3 linked regions of the Coturnix japonica genome follow. The protein of the gene in region 2 purifies or fractionates together with the protein of the main gene of each other region. This does not show direct contact. Links are inferred from orthologs where the notes say so. Each region holds a gene or a part of one and is shown on either strand. Other genes may lie near its edges.

What was found.
Region 1: the proteins of FOS (region 2) and COP1 purify together in Homo sapiens (affinity purification with mass spectrometry; 4 studies listed by BioGRID and IntAct, counting the BioPlex papers as one, with this or other methods). This does not show direct contact. The link is inferred for Coturnix japonica from reciprocal best matches to the Homo sapiens genes FOS and COP1.
Region 3: the proteins of FOS (region 2) and STK40 purify together in Homo sapiens (affinity purification with mass spectrometry; 3 studies listed by BioGRID and IntAct, counting the BioPlex papers as one, with this or other methods). This does not show direct contact. The link is inferred for Coturnix japonica from reciprocal best matches to the Homo sapiens genes FOS and STK40.

Annotation. Positions count from the first base shown.
Region 1 is NC_029523.1:4,953,492-4,957,291, reverse strand, and holds part of COP1 (E3 ubiquitin-protein ligase COP1), read left to right. Parts: intron 1-406; coding exon 407-466; intron 467-2,018; coding exon 2,019-2,116; intron 2,117-3,008; coding exon 3,009-3,085; intron 3,086-3,800. UniProt on the Homo sapiens protein: E3 ubiquitin-protein ligase that mediates ubiquitination and subsequent proteasomal degradation of target proteins.
Region 2 is NC_029520.1:34,667,076-34,671,485, forward strand, and holds FOS (proto-oncogene c-Fos), read left to right. Parts: upstream 1-1,449; 5' UTR 1,450-1,610; coding exon 1,611-1,751; intron 1,752-2,182; coding exon 2,183-2,431; intron 2,432-2,548; coding exon 2,549-2,656; intron 2,657-2,767; coding exon 2,768-3,373; 3' UTR 3,374-4,134; downstream 4,135-4,410. UniProt on the Homo sapiens protein: Nuclear phosphoprotein which forms a tight but non-covalently linked complex with the JUN/AP-1 transcription factor. In the heterodimer, FOS and JUN/AP-1 basic regions each seems to interact with symmetrical DNA half sites.
Region 3 is NC_029538.1:3,592,471-3,596,709, forward strand, and holds the start of STK40 (serine/threonine-protein kinase 40), read left to right. Parts: upstream 1-1,273; 5' UTR 1,274-1,368; intron 1,369-4,239. Other genes in the region: U7 snRNA-associated Sm-like protein LSm10, read left to right, coding at 154-525. UniProt on the Homo sapiens protein: May be a negative regulator of NF-kappa-B and p53-mediated gene transcription.

The sequences.
Region 1 (3,800 bases), on a different chromosome or scaffold from region 2:
ATCACTGTTGAGTCATTTCTTTTAATTGTGCATAGCTATTGGCTGAAAAAATAGAAGAAAAAACTGATCTTGATGTCACATAGACATAACTTATGTTAAAAATAGTTTGGGGTCAGCTTGAACTGGCCAGGAGGTTCAATGCTTGTCAGTGGTGCTTTGGCTTTGAGTGGTTTACAACTGTTGAAAGCTTCAGGGGTGAACACGTACCTGGTCTCCCGTTGGAGCAAACTGCAGTATTACTCAGAGTTCAAAGAACTGTTGATTGCCCTTTTGATCTTTATGCTGCCTAGTTGCTGTTGCATTTTTCTGTCCTTTTCTATTTTACAAACATAAAAGATTACACTTGTTTGAATGGCTGCTTCAAATTAATAACACTTCATAAAAAATACGACTTTTTTTTTTCCAGTCCCATCTGCTTTGATATGATTGAAGAAGCCTACATGACAAAGTGTGGACACAGCTTCTGGTAAGATCTTTGTATTGCACAGATCATCCATCCTGTATGGTGCTTGAGACCTAACATTGCTGTGGACCACTTTCCTTGTGAGTTATTACTTCTGTTTTCTGGCCTTGCACTGAAGACATTGAAATCAAGTTTAAAAGGTGGTTGCTACCAGTTAGATTAACATAAAGAAGTCTAAGTATTTAAGATGAAGCTTTGTGCTGCCATATTTCTCCGTAGAGGGGAAAAAAATGAGAAGTTTTAAACTGCTGTTAGCACTCCAGGGTCAGGGCTGCGTCTGCAGGAGGGCTTTTTCTATTGCCATCTGAAGCAGTGGGTGTTGCTGTTATAAAGGTCATGAGAGCCAGTGTTGGTGTTGGCAGGTCCTCTGCTTTTGTGCAAGACCGTATGCAATTGGCCTCCACGTTATCTATTGCAATTCCATTAAACTTAAGACAGAGGGTGTGCTTCAGGCTTGCTTCTTTATTACCTCCTTTATATTTTTCTCTTTGCAAACTGTTTACTAGGAAACTACTATATCGAATTGGCTTGAGGTTCATGTATTTTTCAGTATGGTATCTCTGGCTTTCACAAGGAGCAAATCTTCTGTGGAGAAGGACACGAACCCTCCAGGTGCAGGTGTGAAGTTACCTGCTTCCCTGGTTTCAGAGAGGGGTTGGAATAAGTGTTGACCCATGAGGTTTTAATGTCTGGTGTGTGCTGCCCTCTTACAGCACCTGTTAAATAGGAAAATCATTTCCTACCTTTTACAAGTGGTAGTGTTTTAGGAGCATAAAACAATTACCTCGAGCAGCAGATTCAGTTAACTTTCAGGATAAGTTTTGTCTTGCATACAGGTAAGGTAACATTTGATACAAAGCACAAAACATAATGCTTCATTATAGATCACTGGGATTTCTTTATTCTAAGAAGTCCAAGATGAAAGGCGTAATTATTTAGGTAGAACAGAGCAATGATGTGTCATTGGATGTTTGTTTCAATTGACTTAAAGCTGGGTAGGGAGTGAGGTTCTTTAGCTCCATGCTGAAGTGCATCTTGTTAGTCCATCCCTCAAATAGCCAACAAGTTTATCACAGCACCTTTGGAGTGCCTTGTATTAAGAACAGCTACTGGGAGATGGGGTGAAAAATGTGAGACTCTTCTAAAGGTCTGAATGTGCAGTAGTTTTCAGTGTACTTGCAAAGTATTTGGCTGATGTAGAAAGGTGCTTCTGAATAATGCTGTCCATCTGCCTGCTCTACCTGTGGAAAAGGAGCATGAATTTAAGATGTGTGACTGAATTAGCCACATTGTCACAATCCTTACTGAAATAAAAGAGCCAAGTACTTAAAACACAGTTTTGTAATCCTTGCTAAGAACTTCAGTTTTTGCTGTAGCATGCCCTTAGTCAGTATTGGAGTGCTTTGACTCTACTGTAGCATCTTGGCAATGCAGCCATTAACTAGGCATCTAAATGAAGTACATGTTACCTAAGGTTTATATTCTTTCCTTTGTGCATATGTACCTTTTTCTTTTCTCTTTATTTATTTTTACTTAATTGTTTTTCTTTTAATAGCTACAAATGTATTCACCAGAGCTTGGAGGACAACAACAGATGCCCCAAATGTAATTATGTTGTGGACAACATAGATCATCTTTATCCTAACTTCTTAGGTGAGCCCTGGGTTTGTTTGTGTAAGTAATGTCTTGGTTGTGATGGGAGACATGTGCTTGTAAATTCATCCTATAAATAACCTGCTTGCAGAGATTGAAAATGAAGTCCAAGCATCATCCCTTTGGTCAGCTGTGTTTTAAAATAAATAAATACACGTGCTTAGTAGTTTAAATTGTTAATACTCCGCTGCCTCTAGCAGTTCTGTATGCTGAGTTATGGCAGCAAGACTCTGGCTTGCTTTTTATAGCATGTAGACAGCAGCGAAATGTTTTATGGCGACTAGAGATTTCAATCTCTGTAATTACTTCTGATTTCTTGTGCTGCCATTTGTTTAATAACCAAGAACTTAACGCTGTTTCTGAAGTACAGATGCTGATGTGGGAAGACTGAATTGTATATGGTGCTACTTTGACTGCCAATGTGGCTCATGTGATGCGTTTTAGTGTCTAAATTACATACAGAAAATCTTTTTGTGTGTACACAGTGCTTATTATTTGCTGCATAAACAAAGAATGGAAATAGTTAAATACTGTGTTACAGGGAAAAAAGATCAAAGTGAAACATGTTGGAGTATGAAATATCAAAATTGAACAAAATCTTGATTTCATAACTGGGATACCCATTTAATAATAGCCTCAGAGCCACAATAGCCAACAAATGTTTCAGAAACTGGCACGTTTGCTGGTTTTTTAATGTATCTTTATACTCTTCACAAAAATATGTCCAGATAGTAAATTGGTAGGAGAAAAATGTCAGCAACTTCATACTGTTTTAGATGCAAGTTAACTTTGTGTAATTGCAAATAAAGATTGGGATGGATTTTTCTCATTTTATTTGAGCTTTTAAATCTCTCTTCTGATATCTGGTTGTTTTTTGTTTGTTTGTTTTCAGTCAATGAACTTATTCTTAAACAAAAACAAAGATCTGAGGAGAAAAGATTCAAACTGGACCATTCAGTGAGTAGCACCGTATGTTCAAACTTTCTTACTTTATATTTATTTAAAGATTCTGTACAACATTAGTCATTATGTGGCTTGGTTTATAGGAGATTATATTGTCAAGCTGGTGTTTTAATATGCTTTATGGGGAAATAACACTAATGTTAGTGGCAGTGCATCTCCACAGCCTTGTTGACTCTAGTTCTTCCTGCCAGCATTTGTACAGGTAGAAGCAAGTTGCTAATTACTTAGCATAACTAAATGTCATGCGATGTACTGAATATAACCTGAGAAAGTACCCGTGGAAGCACGCTTATTTAAAGGTAATCATCTTTATTCAGTGTTGGAAATTACAGCTGTATTAAGACTAATAGTAGTACAGGCTTGTCTGATCATGTGCGAGAAGTTAAGTTCTACAGAGAAACTGAAGGATAATACTAACCACAAGAGGGAGAAAGATGTGTTTGGAGTACTGCTGTCCTGGCTCTGATCCCAGATGCGACTGCCTGGTTCTCTTCTAGACTTCGTTCATGTTGTGGTAGCAGAGTGCAATTTAGGCTGAGCTGTGTTCTCTGGAGGAAATCCCTGTGCTGTAGCAGTGGATGCTTTTGTATGTTTAAGATCAGAACAGTATATGATATTAATCAGGAAACTTGCATATTTGTCTTAGTACTTCTTGTTTCCTTCCTGGGCTTCCGTAACTCATAAATAAGGATGCAAAGTAAATTTGTTTTGGTCAGTGTAA
Region 2 (4,410 bases):
GCTTTCCAGAAACTTCCTTCTGGGTGCAGTTTGGCCAGAGGGACACCGGGCGGTTTGTGGCGCGTTGCCCCTGCTCCTGCCCGGGACGTGGCAGCGATGCTGGGGTCACGGCATCGCCTGTTTGCGGCGCGTCCCTCCGGCAGCAGCGCCGAGGGCGGCTCTCCGAGCTGCGGCCAGAGCGAGGGGCGGGGGGTCCGGGCCGGTCCCATGGAGGGAGCAGCCCTGGCAGGCCCGGAGCCGGTGAGAGCAGCGCCGGCCCATGGGCCCCTCGGCCGGGAACGGCGGAGCCGTGCGCTGCGGCAGTCCTTGGCTGTCCCCTCGGCGCTGACGGGCAGCGCAGAAATAGCAGCTGGCCCAGTTCTCCCGCCCCCGTGGCCCAGATCTCTAAGAACGGAGGTTGTTCGCGCGGCAACAGCGGCAGCGGCATCAGGAGCCGCATTTAGACTGTGAGCTCAAAGAGCGGGAGAGGCTGCCAGCAGGATCCCAGCCTGCACGGGTGACGCTCCTGCTTGGAGACTGCGCTGCGGGCTCTGTTTGTTGCTGTAAACACGCTGCCGCTGCAGCTTCCCTGTTACTATCTATAGCCGCGATCTCTTGGCTCCCGTGCGAGGCGAGGCTGCGGTCTGGCCGCCGGCTCTGCCTGCCCCGAGCCAGGGCTGCCGACATCCCCGCCGTGGGTGGGTGTCTCCGGGCTTCGCCGCGACGGGGATCAAAACAAAACCCAAACTGGAGGAAAGGACGGGCCTCGCCCTCGCCGCTCCCCCCGCGCCCCCCGCCCGTGCCCCCGTCCCGACGCCCGGGGGGCTTCCCCGAGAGCTGCCCTGCCCCGGGCCGCCCCGCACTCCTTCCCGGCCCTCCGTGTGCGTGACCCCGCCGGGGGGACGCGTCCCCGCCGCGCTGAGCACCCTCCCGCCGCGGGGCAAAGGGGACGAAGGGCGCCGCGCCCCTCCGCACCCCACGCGTGTCCGCGGCCGGCTCCCATAGCACGAAGCCCCGCCGGGCCGCTCGGGGCGGGGGCTGCCGGCCGCGGGGGAGCGCCGCGAGGGGGGGTCGGGGCGGCCCCGTCCCACCGCGTCCCGTCCCGTCCCGCGCCGCACTTGGCCGCAGCCTGGAGCGCTTCCCGTCAGTCACGCCCCCTCGCACAGGATGTATCCCATATAAGGATATCTGCGTCAGTGGGTTCCCGAGACCGGCCGTACCACTCCGCGAGGGGGGGGTTATCCCGGAGCGGCTCCTCCCGCCCGTCCCGCCGCGCTCCCCTCGCCCCGCCGCGCCTCCTCCGCCCCGCGGTGCCGTCGTTCCCCGCACTTGGAGGCGGAGCGGGGCGGGCGGCGGGGCCGGGAGAGCGGGGCGAGGCGGACGCGGGCAGAGCGGCCCCCCCCGCGAGCGGGCGTGGTGCGTCCCGCGTGACGTGTGCGATTCACGCGGAGCAGGATATAAAGGGTTGGCGCCGAGCGATACTCCAGCGGCAGAGGCAGCTCCGGCAGCGGAGACAGAGACGCGCGGCGCGGAGCGGATACAGGGACGCAGCCGGCCCCTCTTTGCGTTCTGCCGCGAGGCGCTCCGCTATAGCACCGCAAGGCCCCCGCACGGCCACGCAAACAGCCGACATGATGTACCAGGGCTTCGCCGGGGAGTACGAGGCGCCCTCCTCCCGCTGCAGCAGCGCTTCCCCGGCCGGGGACAGCCTCACCTACTACCCGTCCCCGGCGGACTCCTTTTCCAGCATGGGTTCCCCCGTCAACTCGCAGGTGAGGGGCCGTTGCGCGGCCGCCGCGGGGCTGGGCTCTGGGGGTGCTGGGGGGAGATGGGTGCGGGGGGCGCGCCTCGGGCCGGGTCGGGGCGATGCGGGACCCGAGGGGGGCGGGTGGCTTCAACCGGGCCGGGGACAGAGTGGGGAGCGGCCGCGACGCCGCCGCGGGGCGGGCGGGGGGAGCCGGGGTCCGGGCTGCGCGTTGCGGCGGGTGTGTAAAGCGGCTTCATTGATAAAACGCGAGTTCATTGAGGAGACTCCGGAGCGGCGCCTGCGTCAGCGCGGACGTCAGAGATATTTATATCGGGCCGCTCTCGTGCGGAGCGGCGCTGGCGGCGCGGCCCCGGGGGCGGCGGGGAGCGGCTCGGAGGGGAGTGTCGGCCGCAGCCCCCCGCTCACCGAACCCCCCCCCCACTTTATGTCCCGCAGGATTTCTGCACCGACCTGGCCGTGTCCAGCGCCAACTTTGTACCCACCGTGACGGCCATCTCCACCAGTCCCGACCTGCAGTGGCTGGTGCAGCCCACCCTCATCTCCTCGGTCGCCCCCTCCCAGAACCGCGGGCACCCCTACGGCGTGCCGCCGCCCGCTCCCCCCGCCGCCTATTCCCGCCCCGCCGTGCTGAAGGCGCCGGGCGGCCGCGGGCAAAGCATCGGACGAAGGGGCAAAGTCGAGCAGGTGAGCGGGGCTAAGGGGAAGAGGAGGGGGGTGGAAATGGGGGGCCGGGAGAGGGGCCGGGGCGCGGGGAAAGGCGGGGGGTCTGACGGACGCGCTGACCGCCCTCTGTGTCCGCAGCTGTCCCCGGAGGAGGAGGAAAAGAGGAGGATCCGCCGGGAGAGGAACAAGATGGCAGCGGCCAAGTGCCGCAACCGGCGGCGGGAGCTGACCGACACGCTGCAGGCGGTGAGTGCCGCCCCGGGATCCCGGGGGCTGCGGGGCGGGGACGGGACCCCGCGGGTGGGGGCGGGCGGGTGAGGTTGGCTCCGGCTGACGGCCCGATCTGTGCTTCCGCAGGAGACCGACCAGCTGGAGGAGGAGAAGTCCGCTCTGCAGGCGGAGATCGCCAACCTGCTGAAGGAGAAGGAGAAGCTGGAGTTCATCCTGGCGGCGCACCGGCCCGCCTGCAAGATGCCCGAGGAGCTGCGCTTCTCCGAGGAGCTGGCGGCCGCCACCGCGCTGGACCTGGGCGCACCCAGCCCCGCCGCGGCCGAGGAGACCTTCGCCCTGCCGCTAATGACCGAGGCGCCGCCGGCCGTGCCGCCCAAGGAGCCCAGCGGCAGCGGGCTGGAGCTGAAGGCCGAGCCCTTCGACGAGCTGCTTTTCTCCACGGGGCCGCGGGAGGCCTCCCGCTCCGTGCCTGACATGGACCTGCCCGGAGCCTCCTCCTTCTACGCGTCGGACTGGGAGCCGCTGGGCGCCGGGAGCAGCGGGGAGCTGGAGCCCCTCTGCACCCCCGTGGTGACCTGCACCCCGTGCCCCAGCACCTACACCTCCACCTTCGTCTTCACCTACCCCGAGGCGGACGCCTTCCCCAGCTGTGCTGCCGCACACCGGAAGGGCAGCAGCAGCAACGAGCCGTCGTCTGACTCCCTCAGCTCCCCGACCCTGCTGGCCTTGTGAGGGGCTCGCCCCGCACTGACTGACCTGCCGGGCCCCCTCCCCTGCCCACGCACCCCCACGGACTCACCACGCCCCCCGGGCCTGGGGAGGGCACTGCCGCCGCCACCCCCACCCCATCCATCTGAGGCCCGGGGCCTGATGGAGTGCCTGGGCCCATACCTCCTCCAGAGATGTAGCAAACCGCATGGAGTTTGTCTTGTCCCCAACGGCCCATCTGTGAGAGCTGGTAGTCTGTAGCATGTCCCACATGGCTGGGTTGGTGACTCCCCCCCTCCTTAGTATCACTAGCATTAACTAATTAATCCCTTGGTTTTAAATGATTGGAATTAACCTGGTGCTGGGTATCTCCGACTTGTATCTAGTGCAGCTGATTAACAATAACTACTGTGTTCCTGGCAATATCGTGTTCTTAGCAACGACCCATCTTATGTGGGGGGGGAAAGAGACTCTATTTTATTTTCTAGTAGGTAGATGAATAGCTATATCCATGTACTGTAGTTCTACATCGATGTTCATTGTAACTTTACTGATCATGCGTTGTTGAGGTGGTCTGAATGTTCTGACATAAGTTTTCCATGAAAACGTTTTTATTGTGTTTTTAATTTATTTATTAAGATGGATTCTCAGATATTTATATTTTTATTTTATTTTTTTCTACCTTGAGGTCTTTTTTGACATGTGGAAAGTGAATTTGGATGAAACTTAAGCATTGTTTGCTTATTATTGTTCAGAGACATTGTCAATAAAAGCATTTAAGTTGAGTGCTGGTGCTGTCCTCACTTTACCTTTTGCGCTACTCCCTCTGACCCCAGTGGGGCTCCCTGAACTCTACTTGGGGTTGGGCTTTACCGAAATCTGACTGCCGTAAGCGTAGGGTGCGTTGGGGTGGGAAAACCATTAAGTGCAGATCTGTCATTGCCCTGATGTGTTAGTCAGCCCTGGCTGTGCCTATGCCCTTCCCACCCGCTGGTGGGGCCACCCCTCCCCTGACCTTCCGGCTTCCGTGGGCTGGTGCACCTCTGTGTGTTGCCTGCCGT
Region 3 (4,239 bases), on a different chromosome or scaffold from region 2:
ACCCCTGTGTGCAAAGGGGGGGATGTGATGAGCACTGGGCGTGCAAGGGGAGGAGGCAGGCGATGGAGCTGCCATGCTGGTGTGTATATACACGAGTCCTGCAGGTGGAGGTGCTGGTGGTGCATCTCCCCATTCATATGCTGCAGCCCCACCATGGAGGTCAGCCACTCAGTCAAGGAGCGCACCATCGCCGAGAACAGCCTGGTGATCCTGCTGCAAGGTCTGCACGGCCACGTCACCACCGTGGATCTCCGCGACGAGAGCACGGCCACGGGACGAGTGTCCAACGTCGACGCCTTCATGAACATCCGCCTGGCCCAGGTGACGTTCACGGACAGACGAGGGGAGGTGTCGCAGCTGGACGAGATGTTCGTGGCGGGCAGGAACGTGCGCTACGTGCACATCCCGGATGGGGTGGACATCAGGGCCACCATCGAGCGGCAGCTGCAGGCCATCCACCGCGTGCGCTACTTCGGGGGCCGCGACAAGGGCAGGAGGGAGTTCCCTCGAGCCAAGCACAAATGAGCCCCATTCCTCAATCAACAGCCCAGCTTGGAAGCTCCATCCCTGTGTAATGGCAGCTACTCCTTTATCCCTGTCCTTATGTTTTTCCAGCTCTCAAACAAAGCCCTTTTGGCCTCAGTGCTTGGCTCTGCAGTGATCATTGCCTATAGGCTCTATAGGGCTGCCAGCTACTCCTCCATCCCTCTCTTTATGTATTTCCAGCTCTTAAAGCCCTTTTGGCCACACTGATCATTGCCTACAGGCTCTATAGGGCTGGCAGCTGCTCCTTTATCCCTCTCCTTATGGATTTCCAGCTCTTAAAGCCCTTTTGGCCTCAGTGCTCGTTGCCTATAGGCTCTATAGGGCTGTATCTATAGCTCCTGGGGCCTGGCTGCCTGCATGGGCCTGGTCTGAGGGTGGGCAGTGGGCAGTGCATGGGGTACTGCCATCATGGCGTCCATCTTAAGGCCTAGCACCACGCATGGGGGCGGTGGAGCAGTGCGCATGCGCGGGTGGGAGGGGGCGGGCCTTGAGGTGTTTCTCTTCCAATCAAAGCGCGGATAACATCCCGCCCGCCGACCAACCCGCTCACACAGCATGCACCAATCAACGGAGAGAGTTATCTCTCATCAGCCAATCAATCATCACCACTCAGCCAATTAGTGCTCGCCTCCCATCACTCTATCAACACCCCTCTCGCAGCCAATCACATCCGGGCGCTGCTTCAGCTATCCAATGAGCGCCGCCGTTCCTTCAGAAGGCGGGGCGATGACTTGGGGGCGGGGCCGGGTTGTGCGTCACTTCCGCTGTCAGGTGGCTGAGAGGAGGCCGCGCCGAGCGGCCGCTCCGGCCCCGGGGCCATGGGTGAGTGATGGGCCGGGATGGGCCGGGATGGGGCGGTGTGGGACACTATGAGAGGCCGGAGGGGGAGTAAACAACGGGTCACAGCCCTGGGTTCGGGTCTGTCCCCCTTTGGCTGCGTGTGGGGGTCTATTATCCAGCAGCAAAGCGGCCCTTAGTGCTGCCCGGCTTGTGGTGGGGCTGTGTAGGCCCAGTGTGAGGCCTATACAGCAGCATTAAAGCCCTTAGAGCTCGTTAATGCTTCGAGGAAGGGCTGCAATAATCCTCGGGGCATTAAGTGTTATCCCCTCCTGTATCCACACAGAGCTCTGTCCTATAGGCCCTTACTGAAGAGGAGGGTCACAAAGGTGATCAGGGGGCTGGAGCAGCTCCACTGTGAGGACAGGCTGAGGGAGCTGGGTTTGTTCAGCCTGGAGAAGAGAAGGTTGCAGGGTGACCTCATTGCAGCCTTTCAATACCTGAAGGGAACTTACTCCCAGGAGGGGAGTAAACTCTTGGAAAGGGCTGACAATAGCAGGACACGGGGAAATGGTTTGAAGTTAAAAGAGGGAAGATTTAGGTTGGATGTTAGGGGGAAGTTCTTCATTAGGAGAGTGGTGAGGCCCTGGAACAGGCTGCACAGGGAGGTTGTGGATGCCCCGTCCTTGGAGGTGTTCAAGGCCAGGTTGGACTTGGCCATGGGCAACCTGATCTATGGGGTCTCTATGGGGTCTCTGTGGGGATCTATGGGGTCTCCTGGGCAACCTGATCTAATAAATGTGTATGTTTGGTGGCCCTGCTAGGCAGGGGGGTTTGAACTACATGATCCTTGAGGTCCCTTCCAACCCGGGTCATTCTGTGATTCTGTGAAGGGTTCACAGCCCCTGCTGGGCTCAGCCTGTATTTAGAGCTCAATGCTGCTCTATGTCCCTGCACTGCTCTCATTGAGCCTCAAACTGTGCTGGTGTCTATTTCAATGCGAAATAACCCTGTTTGCTTACCAACGCGTGCTTCTTTCTTGTACCCGATACCATCTATCAACGTGCTTTCGTGCTGCAGACAATAGTAACGTTGGCGTGGCGGTAGGATTTACCCATATGGGTGACGTCTATGTTTCTCTCTATCTCATCCCGGGTTGATGAGTGGGGCATTGTGAGCAGCAGCCACACCTGGCTGTAAAAGTGTCAGCACGTGTGAGTCACACGCTGATGTGTGTGTATATGTGTGTATATATCTGTGTGTGAGGAAAGCCCTGCTGTGCTGTCGCTCTGCCCATAGCAACTGTAAACCAAAATAACCCCCTACAGCAACACGCCTCCCCCCCCTGCATCAGGATATGGGGCTGCACAGGGACGTGGCTGTGCTGCTGTGAAGCTGGAGCTGGTGTTTGTGTAACCCAGCAGGGAACTCCCAGCGATGAGTCCTTGGCGAGCCCTTGTGTTGATGCATCAGAAGGGTTTGGAGCAGCCCAGCCTGCTGCCAGCTCGTGGTCACGGCACTGGAATCTTGTGCTATGGAGCTCCCTGCTGGGGGCTGGGAAGGGATTTCCTCTCCTCCAGTGGGTTCTGCCCATGGAAGTGGTGTGTTCCCAGCACTGCCTGTGCTCGAGGCTCTGAGTGCTGTGAGCCCAGCTCTGTGCCTCCCTCCGAGCTCACTTGGTGCAAGGGGAAGGAGCTCACTGAGCTCCGTGTTTCCAAGAAATCAGTGACTCAGGGCTGCTGTGTGCTCTGTTGAAGGCAGCTCTTCCCAGAGAGGCTCGTGGGTTTGGTTGTACTGTCGCTTCTGAGTCATCCAGTGGACTTTTTCTTTGATTATTTGTGTTTCTGTTGCAGAACTGCTGAACTTCCTTAACTTTTGGTGTTCTTTCCGGCTCTCTACCAAACGTTGCAGTGTTGGGCTCCCAATAAACCCAAAGCTGTCCAGCAGACACCGCTGGGCTCTTATCTGCCACTGCCCCAGCACTGTCCTGTCTCCTCTCTGTCACCCCATTTCCTTCCTTGCAGAGACCAGCTCCTCGCTAGGACAGCACTGTGGCCTTTGGCATTCACCTCATAAGCCCAGACAAACCCTCTTTGTGCCCCTGTGATATAAAGCAGCAGAAAGCACCGCTGGGTTTGTGTCAGCTCTTCCAGTTCCTTCACTAGTTTCTGTGGTGCTGAGTAATCCTGCTCACACCCCAAAGGTGCTGTTTTTTCAGCTCCTGCTATTAATGCTATTATGAAGGCAGCTGGACTGCAGGACCTGCCCGTTCCTCACCCTGATGCACAGTGCAGCCTCCTCCACTTGCTTTCCTTTGTTGCTGTGCTGGGCACTGGGACGTTGCGTGGCAGTTCAGGAATTAGACAATTTCCTTAAGCTACCTAATTAAAAGACATTAGATCTGGGCCTCCACAGTTATTTGATTAACGGTTCTATTAAAGTCATGATGCAGTAGGAAGCTCTACAATTCTCCACTAAGGTTTGGATGCAGTGCTTGCACTATACCAGAACTCAGAGATGAATTCCTATGTTAGACTTGCAGCCTCATTGTCTGAACCCTATGGTGTCACAGATGGAGCGGGGGTGGCAGAGCTCAGTGTGAGCAGTTCCTGCACTGAAGGGGGTGGGGAACCACTGTGTGAGCATCCATGGACCTGCTGGGATACACTGTGTTGAGATGGATTGTACTGATGTTGAAATGGGGTTCCCTTTGCAGTGGGAAGAGCTGGGAAAGGGCACAGTGCTGCTCATCTCCGTGTTGGGATTGCTCCATCACAGCAGGATTGGTTCCTGTGCTGCCTGCTTGCTGTGTACCCATCACAAAGCACATCACCTTGCTGTGCTTTGAGCTGTGGGGCGATGGGCAGCTGGGTCCTGGTGTGCTGCTCCTTGACTTGAGGTGTCTCCACTCACAGC